Rattus norvegicus: one gene and its partner. The protein of the gene in region 1 interacts with the protein of each later gene in a pairwise test. Links are inferred from orthologs where the notes say so. Each region holds a gene or a part of one and is shown in the gene's direction. Other genes may lie near its edges.

Evidence for each region. The genes of interacting proteins can lie anywhere in the genome.
Region 2: the proteins of Pom121 (region 1) and Tex11 interact in binary tests that used the Homo sapiens proteins (3 or more experiments, as listed by UniProt). The two-hybrid records come from large-scale screens. The link is inferred for Rattus norvegicus from reciprocal best matches to the Homo sapiens genes POM121 and TEX11.

Annotation. Positions count from the first base shown.
Region 1 is NC_086030.1:26,921,080-26,928,446, forward strand, and holds part of Pom121 (nuclear envelope pore membrane protein POM 121), read left to right. Parts: intron 1-735; coding exon 736-827; intron 828-1,496; coding exon 1,497-1,570; intron 1,571-1,846; coding exon 1,847-1,971; intron 1,972-2,075; coding exon 2,076-2,178; intron 2,179-2,634; coding exon 2,635-2,808; intron 2,809-3,449; coding exon 3,450-5,063; intron 5,064-7,187; coding exon 7,188-7,310; intron 7,311-7,367. UniProt on the Homo sapiens protein: Essential component of the nuclear pore complex (NPC). The repeat-containing domain may be involved in anchoring components of the pore complex to the pore membrane. When overexpressed in cells induces the formation of cytoplasmic annulate lamellae (AL).
Region 2 is NC_086039.1:70,232,349-70,239,815, reverse strand, and holds the start of Tex11 (testis-expressed protein 11), read left to right. Parts: upstream 1-3,271; 5' UTR 3,272-3,981; intron 3,982-4,077; 5' UTR 4,078-4,099; coding exon 4,100-4,139; intron 4,140-7,467. UniProt on the Homo sapiens protein: Regulator of crossing-over during meiosis. Involved in initiation and/or maintenance of chromosome synapsis and formation of crossovers.

The DNA of each region.
Region 1 (7,367 bases):
AGCCTCCTCTTTCTGCCTCCTGAGGATTAGGTCTCCAGCTTGCACCTCCATACCCAGCTGGTATTTTATATTCATATTCATATTCATGGGGTGTCAGAATCTGTAAAAGTGCAGGGTGTACTTGTTATTGTAGGTGATTTTTGTTGAAATAATGAATACAAGTATTACCTTTTTATTTTTTTTTTTAATTTCTTTTTTTTAACTTATTATTTTGCAGTGTGTGGTGGAATACATGGTCTACGTAGTAAATTGCAATCAGGGCTATGCAGTAAGACATGGTCTTAAAAAAAATAAAAGAAAAGAAAAATTATTTGGGCCTCTGAGAGTTTAGGGGCAACATATGCATGCAGGTGCCCAGAGGCCACCAATCTCCTAGAATAGGATTATAGTACTTGTGAGCAGTCTGGTGTGGAGGCTGGGAACCAACCTGGGTCGTCCTCAAAAGCAGCAAGTGTTTCTTAACCACTGAGCCAGCTCTCCACACTCTCAAAAAGGTTATTTTTAGTTTTGCTGTAGTTGTTTGTTTTTCTTTTTAGTTTTTTCAGACACAGTCTCTCAGTAAAATAGCCCTGGCTGTTCTAGAACTAAATATGTAGACCTGTCTGGCCTTGAACTCAAAAAATCCACCCTCCTTTGCCTCCCTAGTGCTGGGATTAAAGGTGTGTGCCTCACCGTCTGGCCAGTTCAGAACATCTGCCAGTAATGGTCTCAGATGTGTCTCTGCTTGACTTGCAGCTGTGGAAGAGGAGTGGTCCCACCTCTTCTCCCTTCTCCAGCCCAGCTTCCTCCCGCTCCCAGACACCAGAGAGGCCAGCCAAGAAGACAAGGTGATCATCATTCCCTCCTGGTCACTTTGTATGGACGGGGCAATGGGCTTAACAGGGATTAGCTGGTGGGCTGCTTTTTCTGACTCAGCAAATCAAAGAGTCAAACCCCAGAAAAGTAGCAAAGAGCCTGCTAGAGTTATGTCCCTGTCCTACAGTGAGAGCAGCTGATGGCTGGAGTTCCTTCTCTGTCTCATACTCCACTGGGAGTGGTGCAGAGTGGACCCGGTCAACAGGGAGCCTGAGTCTCTCGCCCCAGTTCACCCTTCCCTGGAGCTCAGCTCCCTCAAGGATCAGGTCTGTCTGTGTCTGGCCCCACCTCCCTACCTGCCACCCAGCCTTTTTTTATTTTGTATGTCTGTCTGTCTGTCTTGGGCCTGCTTCCTCACCAGTTCCTCCTTGTTCCTGGCACTAACCTACCGTTAGAGCCTGAAGATGTAGTCTGGGACCCTGGACTTGGCAGGCTTTGAGTAAAGCTTTGCAGATCCCTGTTCTGTATTTGATTAAAGGCTGGTTGTTCATGGCCTCTGTCAACTCATAGTGATATGCTGACACCTAGAGCTGTGGTTTTTCTAGACTTTGCCTGTGTAGGAATGTGCAAGTGTGTGTGGGGGGTGCCATGCAGCCTCCAGGCCTTCCCAAGTAAACCCTAGCTTTTCACAATCTCCACAGAGAGGAGGAACCATGTCACCAGTCCAGTTCTTCAGCTCCCTTGGTGACAGACAAGGAGTCCCCAGGAGAAAAGGGTAAGTAGAGAAGCCATGGGAGCCGAGAGTGGCATCTCCAGTGGAAGTTAGCCACTGTGAGGCTTGGAAGATAGTTGTAGCCCTTTGGAGGTCCAGCATAGGAAGAGTGTCCACTGCAGAATATGAGGACTGCCAGGCCATGAGCTCAGGGTTGGGCTCTGAGGAGTGGGGTCACAGCTGTTCCGGAAGCAGTCAGAAACAACACTAACACAGAAAACAATCTCTTCCAAACTGTCTTGACCTTACTAGGGAGGCCAGCAACCCTTGTTTCTGTAGTTACAGATCCAGCCACGGGGAAGCAGCAGAGCCTGTGGACTTCCCCACCCACACCTGGCAGCTCCGGGCAACGCAAACGCAAGATTCAGCTGCTGCCCTCCCGGCGAGGGGACCAGCTCACCTTGGTATGTCTTATCGATCCCTCTCAGCTCTTTTAGTCTTAGGGAGTCTGGGGCAGGTTTCCACAGCTTCTGGGGTTGGTCTAACCTGTCTCTGTTTGCTTGGGCAGCCTCCACCCCCTGAGCTTGGCTATTCCATCACTGCTGAAGACCTGGACATGGAGAGGAGAGCCTCACTGCAGTGGTTTAACAAGGTCTTGGAGGATAAGACGGGTAAGACTGTGGAGCTCAGCATGCTCTGTGTGTGTTTCAGCTTTCCTGGGGAGAGAAGTTGTAGAATACTTGATTTTTCCATTTAGTTCTGAGTCTCATCTTCCAAGACTGCCTTCAGAGTCATAATACTGCTGCTTCAGCCTCCAAAGTGCAGGGTTTCAGATGTGTGCCATCACAACCAGCTCTTGGGTCTTTGTCCCCACTTGTTCTACCAGGGGCCTTATTACCAGGAGCTGTCACCAATACTTTCCCATGGGAAATGGGAGTTTTGAATTGTGTGTGAAAATAGAGTTACTGTGTAACTGCTTAGTCTCCCATTCATAGTCCTCTTGCCTGCACTCCCGTGTGCTGGAACACAGGCCGTGTGCCACCAGTGAGGTTAGGGAAGCATTTCTGGACAGGTGTTTCTGAATCTGGAAGGAGGTCCGATGTAAAAAGCTTACCTTTCTTCTGCAGATGATGCCTCTACCCCAGCCACTGACACCTCCCCAGCCACCAGCCCTCCCTTCACACTCACCCTGCCTACCGTGGGGCCTGCTGCCTCACCAGCCTCCCTCCCAGCTCCCAGCTCTAACCCACTGTTGGAGAGTTTGAAGAAGATGCAGGAGTCTCCAGCCCCATCCTCCTCAGGTAAGCAGAGCAGTGTGCCCTGGAATTACAGGCTTTTGATATGACGGGAGTGTGTAGCCTGTCAGTTCAGGGCTTCAGAATGCCCTGGTCTGGAAATACACAGGGAGGCGGGCTGTAATACTGGGTTCATGGTTGAAAGGCAGCTAGCTGCCCTAGCTGTCCTGAGTGTGTCTTCTCTGCATTGAGAACGCTGTCTTCTTTGGGAGGTATGAACAGTGTGAGGCATCTATAGCTTTCTGGACCCCAAACCTAGAGTAACTGAAACTGGGACTAGTGAGCCTTACCAGCTAATGCCTTCATGGCCCACACTTGAACACGCTGTGTAGTTGACTTCTCACACTAGAGTGCAGGCGTGCTGATGTAGCTCTCGGGGCTGGCCAGACACTCTTTGCTGGGTTGGTAAACATGATGGGCCTTTGTCCCATGTAGACAGGGAAGTTGCAGAGCTGCAGGAATAGCATTTTCCTTCATGACCACACATGGAGCCCTAGGCTCCCCTGCTTTCCCTTCTGTCTTTGCTGGAATCTGTGGGGGTACAAATGTCTTGAGTCGTGGTGTGGTGGTGGTTGCTGGAGGGTGCAGGCGTGTTGAGTGCCACTCTCAGACTTCCTCAGGACTCACTTCACTTCTTCTCTTCCCAGAACCTCCTGAGGCAGCAACAGTTGCGGCCCCTTCACCTCCGAAGACACCTAGCCTCCTGGCCCCTCTTGTCTCACCACTGACAGGGCCCCTAGCCAGCACCTCCTCAGACTCCAAACCTACAACCACCTTCCTGGGGCTGGCTTCTGCTTCATCCGCCACACCACTCACTGACACCAAGGCCCCTGGAGTCTCTCAGGCCCAGCTGTGTGTCAGCACCCCAGCCGCCACAGCTCCCTCCCCAACTCCAGCCAGCACGCTGTTCGGGATGCTGAGTCCACCTGCCAGCTCCTCTTCCCTTGCCACTCCTGGCCCAGCTTGCGCTTCTCCCATGTTTAAGCCCATTTTCCCGGCCACACCTAAGAGTGAGAGTGATAATCCCTTGCCAACTAGCTCCTCAGCCGCCACGACAACTCCAGCCAGCACCGCCCTCCCCACAACAGCAACCGCCACAGCTCACACTTTCAAGCCCATTTTTGAGAGCGTGGAGCCATTTGCAGCCATGCCCCTGTCACCTCCCTTCTCCCTGAAGCAGACAACTGCTCCGGCCACCACTGCAGCCACATCAGCTCCTCTCCTCACTGGCCTGGGCACTGCCACTTCCACAGTGGCCACTGGCACCACAGCTTCTGCCTCCAAGCCTGTGTTTGGCTTTGGAGTGACCACTGCAGCGAGCACTGCCAGTACCATAGCTTCCACCTCCCAGTCACTTCTGTTTGGGGGAGCCCCGCCTGTTACTGCTTCCAGTTCCGCCCCAGCCCTGGCCTCCATCTTCCAATTTGGCAAGCCCCTTGCCCCAGCAGCGTCTGTGGCGGGCACCTCCTTTAGCCAGTCCCTTGCCAGCTCTGCCCAGACTGCTGCCAGCAATAGTAGTGGGGGCTTCAGTGGTTTTGGTGGGACCCTCACCACCTCCACCTCTGCCCCTGCCACCACCAGCCAGCCCACTCTGACCTTCAGCAACACTGTCACCCCCACCTTCAACATTCCCTTTAGCGCCAGTGCCAAGCCTGCGCTCCCAACCTACCCCGGAGCCAACTCACAGCCCACATTTGGAGCCACTGATGGGGCCACCAAGCCGGCACTTGCCCCAAGTTTTGGCAGCTCTTTCACTTTTGGCAACTCTGTGGCCTCAGCCCCGTCGGCAGCCCCAGCACCAGCCGCCTTTGGTGGTGCTGCACAGCCAGCTTTCGGAGGGTTGAAAGCCTCAGCCTCCACCTTCGGCACCCCTGCCAGCACTCAGCCGGCTTTCGGTAGCACCACTTCCGTGTTCTCCTTTGGTTCAGCCACCACATCTGGCTTTGGTGCTGCTGCCGCCACCACACAGACCACCCACAGTGGGAGCAGCAGCTCTCTGTTTGGCAGCTCTACTCCATCCCCATTCACATTCGGTGGCTCAGCAGCTCCTGCTGGTGGTGGAGGCTTTGGGCTTAGTGCTACACCAGGTACCGGCTCCACCTCTGGAACTTTTAGCTTTGGATCTGGACAGAGCGGGACCACGGGCACCACCACCTCCTTTGGGGGAAGTCTGAGTCAGAACACCCTGGGCGCACCTAGCCAGAGCTCACCGTTCGCCTTCAGTGTGGGCAGTACACCTGAAAGCAAGCCTGTGTTTGGAGGTAAGATCCACAACCCTGTTAGGGGTTAGTGCACCATAGTCGTCTGCATTGTTAGAGGCCAACTAGCAATCCAAACTAGAGATGATGGGAGCCCTGTGCAGTGAAGAAAGGTTTCTGGAGGCTTGGAGAGGTGGCTGGTCTTAGGTCTTTGGCTGTATGTCTGTCTGTTTACCACATGTGTGCTGGTGCCCGCCCCCAGCAGCTACAAGAGGGCGTTAGATCCCTGGGACCTGTGAGCTGCCATGTGGGTGCTGGAAATTGAATCTAGGTCTCTGAAACCATTGAGCTATCGCTCCAGCCTCCATTAGAAAACCAAAATCAATGCCTTTGAAGAAGTAATGAATGGAAGGAAAAATGTTTGGTTTATGTGCTTGGTGTTAACCTGTGCGTACAGTCATTCCTAGCTTTATCTTGTATGGTTACTTGTGCTTGTACAGGAAGCACTTTTAACTCACCAAGCCATCTCCCCAGCTGCTGTAATTTATAGTGTGTATGTATGCACGTGCATGCGTATACATGTACATGCACATTACCATGGTGTACAGATAGAGGTCAGAGTGTAACTTTATGGAGTAGGTTATCTTTCCCTTTCCTTAAATTCTGAGACTAAAACTCGGGTTGCCCGACTTGTGCTGCAAGTGCTTTCCCTCTGAGCCATCGCACTGGCTTCTGTTTGCTTTGTGTGTGTGTGTGTGTGTGTGTGTGTGTGTGTGTGTGTGTGTGTGTTTGATACTGCTTCCTAGTGTAACCCAGGTTGCCCTCTAATTCAAGATCTTCATACTTCCCAAAGCTCCAGTGATGGGCACACACCCGCTGCAGGCTGCAGGGGAGGGTAGCCTCACGGCATAGAGGCAGAAGCAGGAATGGTGGATTCATGTGCAGAGAATAGGCAAGATTGGCTGGAGGTTGCAAGGCTGGCAGAGTTCAGGGTTGGTCATAGTCAGGATTCATTGCCTGGATTTTAAATGTCCAGGGAAGTCACAGCAGAATTTCAAGCCTAAGGGTGAAGAGGTCGTACAGCAGTGTGCAGAGTGAGTTTTGGTCCTAAGAGCTGCTGACTTCTTCAGTAAATAGAAGCGCTTAGTGAAGTGAGGAAGATGGACCAGGGCAGGAGGCAGGTCTGTTGAGTGAGTTGTCAGGAACATGAGAAAGGGGATGTAAGGGAAGACAGTGGAAGGCTTGCTCACATAGCTTGCAGAGGTTCAAGCAGCCTCTGGAATAAGGAGGTGGATGTGGCTGGGGAGATAGCTCAGTAGTCAAACTGCCTGATGCTTGCAGTTGAGGATCTGAGTTCAGTCTCCTGTGCTAAAGCGTGCTGAGGCCGTGGGAACCTGTAAATCCCAATGCTGGGTGTGTGGAGGTTGGCAGATCCTCTAAACTCACCGTCCCTCTAGCCACCATAGCCAGCTCCAGGCCAGTGAGAGACTCAGAGACACCCAGTGTCAACCTCTGGCTTCTGTACACTCCCATAGATGAGTACTGCTCTGGTGCAGATACACACAACAGATAACACTCAGAGTTCGTGTGTGTGTCATTAGCACTAAAAGATCATGAATCTTGCTCACTTAAGAATGGGGAGGGGGAGGGATCAGGATCCTTGTTGCGGGGAGGGTGGTGATTGACAGGTGACCTTCCAAAGGACCACCACTGTTAGTTAGAGCCTGGTGACCTGAACCACAGGAATTGGCCTGGGTGTGGTATTGCATGTCCGTCATCCCAGCACCTAGTCTTGGGCAGGAGGTTGGAGAGTTGAAAGCCAACGTGGGCTACATAGCAGAAAACCCAGTCTCAAAAAAGCAAAACAAAGAAATTGGGAGTTTGAGATAGAAGGGGAGAGAAGTGGTCTGGAGTCAGCGTCAGAGCAAGACAGCCCTGAGACAACTACACACAGGCAGAGCAGGGGCCATTCCCATAGGGCATGCTGAGAAGAAGAGGGACCCTCCAAGATGAGTGAGGGGAAGGGGCAGGGAACAAGGGAGAAGAGGCAGGGAGGGCTAACCTGACAGCCCCACATCTCACTGCAGTTGTATAATGGAGGGGTGGCAGAGACTGGTTTCATCAGGCCTGGAGCTGGGGGTTAGTGTGATAACAGTCTGGTCTCTAACTCTTCTGTCTCCCCTTTAGGCACATCCACACCTACTTTTGGGCAGAGTGCCCCTGCCCCAGGAGTCGGCACCACAGGCAGCAGCCTCTCATTTGGGGCCCCTTCAACACCTGCCCAAGGCTTTGTTGGAGTTGGACCTTTCGGTAAGTCACCAGTCTGTTGTCAGCATGGCATCCTTGTCCCTTGAGTGGGGAGTGATT
Region 2 (7,467 bases), on another chromosome or scaffold:
ATGTGTACTAGGTGGAAACAAGTTTATTTATCCATATATTCTATGCTGCCTAGAACCATTTGAAGGTTGATGGGTGTCTTAGGGTCTCCTTGTTGTAAAGAGACACCATGACCAAGGCAAATCTTGGGGCTGGCTTACTGTTTCAGAGGTTCAGACCATTACCATCAAGGCAGGAACATGGCAGCATCCAGGTAGGCATGGTGCAGGAGGAGTTGAGAGTTCTGCATCTTGTTCCAAAGGGAACTAGGAGAAGACTGTCTTCCAGGAAGCTAGGAGATCTCAGAGCCCATCCCCACAGTGGCACACTTCCTCCAATAAGGCCACACCTCATAATAGTGCCACTTCCCATGGGCCAAGCATATTCTAACCACCACAATGGGATTTATAAACTTGCTGTGAGTCTGAAGGACAGGCAATGGGTAGTTTTAGATTCGACAGGAGATACTGGAGATGTAGGTCAGAGGGTAGGGTGCTGGCATAATGGACCTGGATTACATTAAAGTCAGATTCAAAACATCAGATTTGATATGAGCAGGAGCAACAGAGGCATGCCTTGGAACTGCAGATTTACAAATTAAATTGTTATTTGTATTTATGTATGTGAGTTTTTTTGCCTGTATGTATGGGCACTATGTGGGTACAATGCCTGTGGAGGCCAGAATATGGTCTCTGATCCCCTGGAACAGGGGTTACAGATGGAGGTGAGTTACCTGAGTCTGTGGAGAGTAGCCGATGCTCTTAAACTCTTGGGCAAAACTATCCTGGAACTAAATTTTTTTCCAGTCTTTTCAAATTCTTTTTTTTTTTTTTGGTTCTTTTTTTTCGGAGCTGGGAACCGAACCCAAGGCCTTGCGCTTCCTGGGCAAGCGCTCTACCACTGAGCTAAATCCCCAACCCCATCTTTTCAAATTCATGCTTTAAAGAATAAAATAAAATAGCTAGACAGTGGGTTGGGGATTTAGCTCAGTGGTAGAGCGTTTGCCTAACAAGCGCAAGGCCTTGGGTTCGGTCCCCAGCTCCGAAAAAAAATAATAGCTAGATAGTGGTGGCACATCCCTTTGAATTTGAGGCAAGCCTGGTCCACAGAGTGAGTTTCAGGATATTCAAAGCCACACAGAGAAAACCCGTCTCTATAAACCAAAACCAAAACCAAACCAAACCAAACCAAACCAAACCAAACCAAACCAAACCAAACTAAAAAACACAACACAACAAAACAAAACAAAAACCAAAAAACCAAAAAACCCCAAAGACCTATTGGTTTTCTGGTTTTCACACTCAGAGGCTACCCACCTCAGTGGTTTATGTTCCCGAATGGAAGATACACACACACACACACACACACACACACACACACACACACACCCCACTACCACCACCACCACAGTCACACACACACACACACACACACACACACACACACCACTACCACCACCACCACAGTCACACACACACACACACACACCACTACCACCACCACCACAGTCACACACACACACACACACACCACTACCACCACCACCACAGTCACACACACACACACACCACTACCACCACCACCACAGTCACACACACACACACACACACCACTACCACCACCACCACAGTCACACACACACACACACACACACCACTACCACCACCACCACAGTCACACACACACACACACACACACCACTACCACCACCACCACAGTCACACACACACACACACACACACACACACACCACTACCACCACCACCACAGTCTCACACACACACACACACACACACCACTACCACCACCACCACACTCACATACACACACACACACACCACTACCACCACCATCACAGTCACACACACACACACACACACACACACACAGAGCCTTTTAACATGCCTTAAGCAGCACGATAGCTGGGTGACTGCATCTATGCTGCTAGAATCTAGCTCCCGCCGATAATTCCGAGTTACTACTTACTCATTTCTATATTCAGTCTTGGCTGCTCTAACTCCAATTAGTCAGCCGTCTGGGTCACGTTTTTCTTGGCCCAGAGCCGGGGTGTTCTCCTTGCCTTTCTACTCCATGGCAGACTCTGTCCTCTCGTCACACTCTTCTAAAGTATGGTGGATCTCTTTTCTTCTCCTCCCAGTCTCAAGCTGGGGGAATCCTAGAATCCCGCCTCTGTCTGTCCTTCCCAGCTACTGGCTTCTGGCATGTTTATTTACCAATCAGAACCAGCTCCGGACAGGTTCCCAGAAGCTATGTGTAGACCCTCTAGTGAAAACAGTTTTTTGGGGGAACATAATTAGGATTCGCAAAATAAGGGTTCATGATTCACTGAAGGATGATACCCAGACTCAAATAGTATGTAAATGCTCTTATCCTGCAGAAGTCCAGCATGCTGGAGTCTCCCATTACCAAGATAGAAAGACCCAGAAGTAAGCTCACAGGCCTGATTTAAAGCACGTTAGGGGAATTCTGGGATAGGAGCCTGTCATGGAATCAGCCTACCCATCTCAGTAATACAAGCAGTTACATCGGTGCTGATCTCTGGTCTTGTCTTGGGTTTCTGTTACCCTCTGTGGTTCTTAGGAGAGCGTGGTGGTTCTGTGTTGCCTCATAGGGAAGTCCACGGTGATTCCAGGCAAAACGTTTTTTCTAGGTGCTGACATTTAGGGAAAGGGATGGGTAGGAGGGCAGGGTGAAGCTGTCCGCAGGATGAAAGCTTGGTTTTCCATGGGGATCTGTTTAGTCCCTTGGGAAGGGGGAGGGAGGTAGAGAGTAAGGAGAGACAGCGGCAGGTGGGTCTGCTACGAACTGGGGATGAGACTCTACGAACTGGGGATGAGACTTGGGGATTGGGACTCAGGCATGGAGGGAGATATGAAGGTCTGCGGTTAGCCTCCCTGCCTCGAGTGCACAATTTCTTCTTTTTCCGAATTTTGACACTATTTATTTATTTCTTTGCTGGGGTTTTACTATGCTTCCCAGGCGATCTAGAATGCCTTGACTCAAGGGATTCTCTTGCTTTAGCCTCTGACTGGTGACACTAGTAGCCTGTGCTACTGTGCTGGGATACCTTGCCAGTTTGAAACACTGAGTAGCTCTGTGTACACTGTTTTTGTAGCGTGTGTATGAGTGAATTCTTGTTCTTGTTTTTCTATAATCCTGGCCATCTGTCCTTCCTTTGAATGGTAGTCCACTTCTGTTCTTACGTCTAGACCTTGTCCTGATAAGTCTCGTTCTGGTTTCATCCAGTGTAGAGAATTTAGACAGGATTCCAAGGCAGAGAATCAATATATCGTAAAGGACAATTGGGAGTGGTTTTTGATGATGTAATAGAGGGGAAGGAGCTTTGCTCTCCTGAGGAGCGTGTGAGGCACATTTAAAGGCTGTAGTTTCAGCGGGCGAGAGGTTTAGTGGATAGGAAGTGGTCCAGTCTTTTCTTTCATCTTGTTTATTACGTGTGTTTATGTATATATGTGTGTATTATCGAACTCAGGGCCCCGCATCTGCAGCCCAGGGTTTAGAACTACCAAGAAGAAACAGACATTTGACAATACTTCTTAGAGATGCTCTGAGGTAATATCTTCAGAACGAGAGGTTTGTGGGTAGGGGAAGGAGGGCTAAGCAGCGCCAATTCAGCTCAGCGACCGTTAGTGGAAGGCCACGTAGAGCGGGAAAAAGGCGCCAAAAAACGCAGCCAAGAGCGAGGGGGCCGATGGGATATGCACGAGAGTGTTTGAACACCGAAACAGACCAATCACAAAGTATGACTCAATCTATTTGCATAAAGAGGGCGGGGCAGTGTGTGCGGGACAGACCAATCACAGAACATGACTAGCTGTGACAGAGCCCTGAACCTCGCCTTCCGGCCTTGGGCCGTTGGGCCGCCAGAGACGAGCAAGCTTTTCGGTTGCGGGACAGCAGAAACCTCTCTCCTTAACAACGTTTCTCCTGGATTTTCAGCTTCCTCAACTTCCCTGTACTTTTAGGTAATATGTAATGGGCATAGTTGTCTGGAAAAAAGTGTCTTTTTAAGAAATTAGAGAATAAAGGGTGGAGTATTAAAATATTTTCTTGTTCAATAGGCTGGATCCGGACATTTAATACATGGATGGCATTGCTGACCTTAGCATCATGGACTTTAAAGGTAACCAAGCTTTGCATGGTAACAGTTATTTTATGGCTGACTGAAATTCTCAATCGTGGTTGCTGCATCAGCTGCTCTTTTGGATTTTAGGTGTTGTTCCTTCACGGAATCCATGTCTGAATCGTCCAGACAATTTTTAGGTGCCACATCCACCCAGTCCTGGTGGTATTTTGTCTCTTAGCCTTGGCACTCCAGTTATTCTTTCTCTTGAGCTTGGCAGGGTAGCCACATTTGCCACAGACCAACTTCTGAAAGTGGTAGTTCTTAGAGCCACAGCGGCCGGTGGTACAATGTGTGTGGTACAATGTGTGCATCTTATTGGGACGCTTTCCAGACGACGGTGTTCTTTTGTCATGTTGCTTCTACCTCCAAGGCCAAAGAGGCCAGAAGAGCCCCTCTCTCTGACTCAGAACTTTATGTAGCTCAGGCTATCCTCAAATTCGCAATCTTCCTAGGTCAGCTTCCAGAGTGCAGGTGTCAAACACCGCACCTGACATATACTCCCAACATTTGTAACACTGAGGCTGGAGAAATACCTCAAATATTGTTTCACAAAGCAAAACAAAAAGAAAACAAGCTGGGAGGTAGCTCCGAGGCAGTGTTTGCCTTCCACATGTGAAGCCCTGGGTTGGGGGTCCAGCACTTCAGAGGTACACATGCAGGTTTGTCTCTTAAGTTTCTTTTCAGAGTATTCAGTGCTCCAGTTTTTCTCATTTATGTACCAGAAATAATATTTGGAACTTTTTATGAACTAGTGTAAGGAAACAAAATTCACAATCCACAGCTTATTTTCTGGTCATAATCTATAGCTTTTCCCAGGTATTTTAGGAGATGCAGAATTATACTGTTTAACCTGAAAAGTACTATGTTAAAAGTACATTTAAAAAGTTGTTGCAAGCAGATGGGCATGTAATACTATAAATTTATTCTTGGAGACCATGTGGCTGGTTCACATTTTATCTTGTCCTAATAGTAAGGCCTACATAAGGGCAGTTAGCTTGCCTCTAGGGCAGGGGTTTGAAGGAGTACATTGGCTTCTGTAGTATCAAGACAACTCAGCACGGTATGTTCTGCTTGTAAAAATGATTTTTTCAGAAAACTGCTGTCATCCACAAGCCATTCAACATCAGGGCGATAAAAAAGTTTATCTTTAAGAAATTTAAAATTTATTTATTGTTTTAAAAAATCACTGTAAGGGCAGGTGAGATGGCTTAGCCAGTAAAGATGCTTGCCCCCAAGGCTGATGACCTGAGTTGATCACTGAGACCCATATGGTGGAAGGAGAGAAGCAGATCTGGACGATTGTCTTCTGTCCTCTATACTGGTGACATGTTATGTGCATGTGTGTGGTAAGCGCGCGCGCGCACACGCGCGCGCGCGCACACGCGCGCGCGCGCACACACACACACACAAGTAATTCCTGCAAGATAGGAGGCTAGTTTGAGGCAGTATAATGACACCATGCCTCGAGTAAGCAAACAGCATTGCCACGCTTCACATAACACCTTTTCCTATGGTTAATTTGGAGACAAATTCTTATTTTCCTTTCTTTGGATTTTTAGCTTCTTCAGTTTGTTGTTATATAAATGCCCTTGTAACTTATTTTAATATCCGAGTTTAGATTTTCTTTTACTGATATATTTATGATTGTTTATTCCATAAAGTCTTCAGAAAATAGAGCTGGGTGTGTAATCTCAGCACCCAGAGGCTAACACAGGAGGATTGTGAGTTTAAGGGTATCCTGAACTACGTAGTGAATTTGAGGCCCACTTAGCATATATAATGAAACTGCCAAAAATGTATAAAAAATCTTGAATATAGTTGTAGTCAATACCAGCCCTGTCTAGTAGAAATTAATGAGCTACATATTTAATTTAAAATATTCTAGTAGACACATTAGACTGCATAAGGAATTAGATGAAATTAATTTTTTAAAAAAGATTCATTTATTTTTATTTTATATGCAAGGGTATTTTGACTGCATGTCTGTCTGTGCACCGCCTGTGTGCCTGATGTCTGCAGTGGTCAGAAGAAGGTGTCAGGTTTTCTGCAACAGATGGTTAATCCCAGCACTTGGGTGGCAGAGGCAGGCAGATCTCTGTGAGGCTAGCCCAGTCTATATCGAAAGTCCTGGGCTAGCCAAAGCTACACACTGAGAGACCCTGTTTCAAAAACAAGCAAACAGCACCACCCCCACTGCTGCTATGGTTTTATTTTTTTCCGGATATTTAGATGCCGTTGAAGTGGAGTTCCCTTGATACTACTCAAGGCTTTGTTCTTAATGATGGTGGTACTGGGCAAGTTAACTTCTTTATGCATATTTCAGTCAATTGTAAAATTAGAGTGTGTTAAAACTTGGTTGATTGAAAGATGTGTATCAATATATACCATGTTTGAAAATATAAACTCCTTAAGGGAGGGAAGTATGTCTTGGTAGATATTGTTAAACATTTATTGAAGGAATTTATCAAAACCTAATAACTTGTGTGTCTCATTCATATTGAATACAAAGATGGTAGCAGTATTACCAGTTATGTTCTTAATTATTAAATTGATCGTGATTAGTTTGTGTGTGTGTTAAAGATTAAACCCAGGGCTTCAGGCATGCTAATCATATACTCTGCCAATGAGCCTCTGGCCCCTTAGAAAATCTTGATTATGATTTTTGTTGCTGATTTGAAAATTCACATGAGAATTTTTCTTTTGTTTTTCTGTTATCATGAAAATACCATAATGCATAATTGTCTGTGAGATTTTATTTACCAATTCTCTAAATAACTAGTAAATTCTGTTAGGAATGGAAAGGTAAAAATACCTTATGTGGAGACTTAATTATGTATCTTTTGATTTTATTAACCTTTTTTTTTTTGGTTCTTTTTTTCGGAACTGGGGACCGAACCCAGGGCCTTGCGCTCCCTAGGCAAGCGCTCTACCACTGAGCTAAATCCCCAACCCCTTAACCTTTTGACGGATCTTTTTTGTAAGCAACCCCCTCCACTGTTCAAGTTCTTTATATAAAATTTCAGAGTTTGTATAATATATGCATGTCCTATACATTTTATTTTTCTTGTTTGTAGTTTTTTAAATAATAGAACATAGGGTCTCTTTGTGTAGCCCTGGCTGTCCTGAAACTCACTCTGTAGACCAGGCTAGCCTCGGATTCACAGAGATCTGCCTGCCTCTGCCTCCAGAGTACTGGGATTAAAGGCATGGGCCACAACTGCCAGACTTGTTTCATATCATCAGTACATAGATGATTTTATGTATCTATAAAGTCTAAGGCCCATTACTGACAGGAAACGTGTCTAGTTTTGTTTTTGTTTTTTTG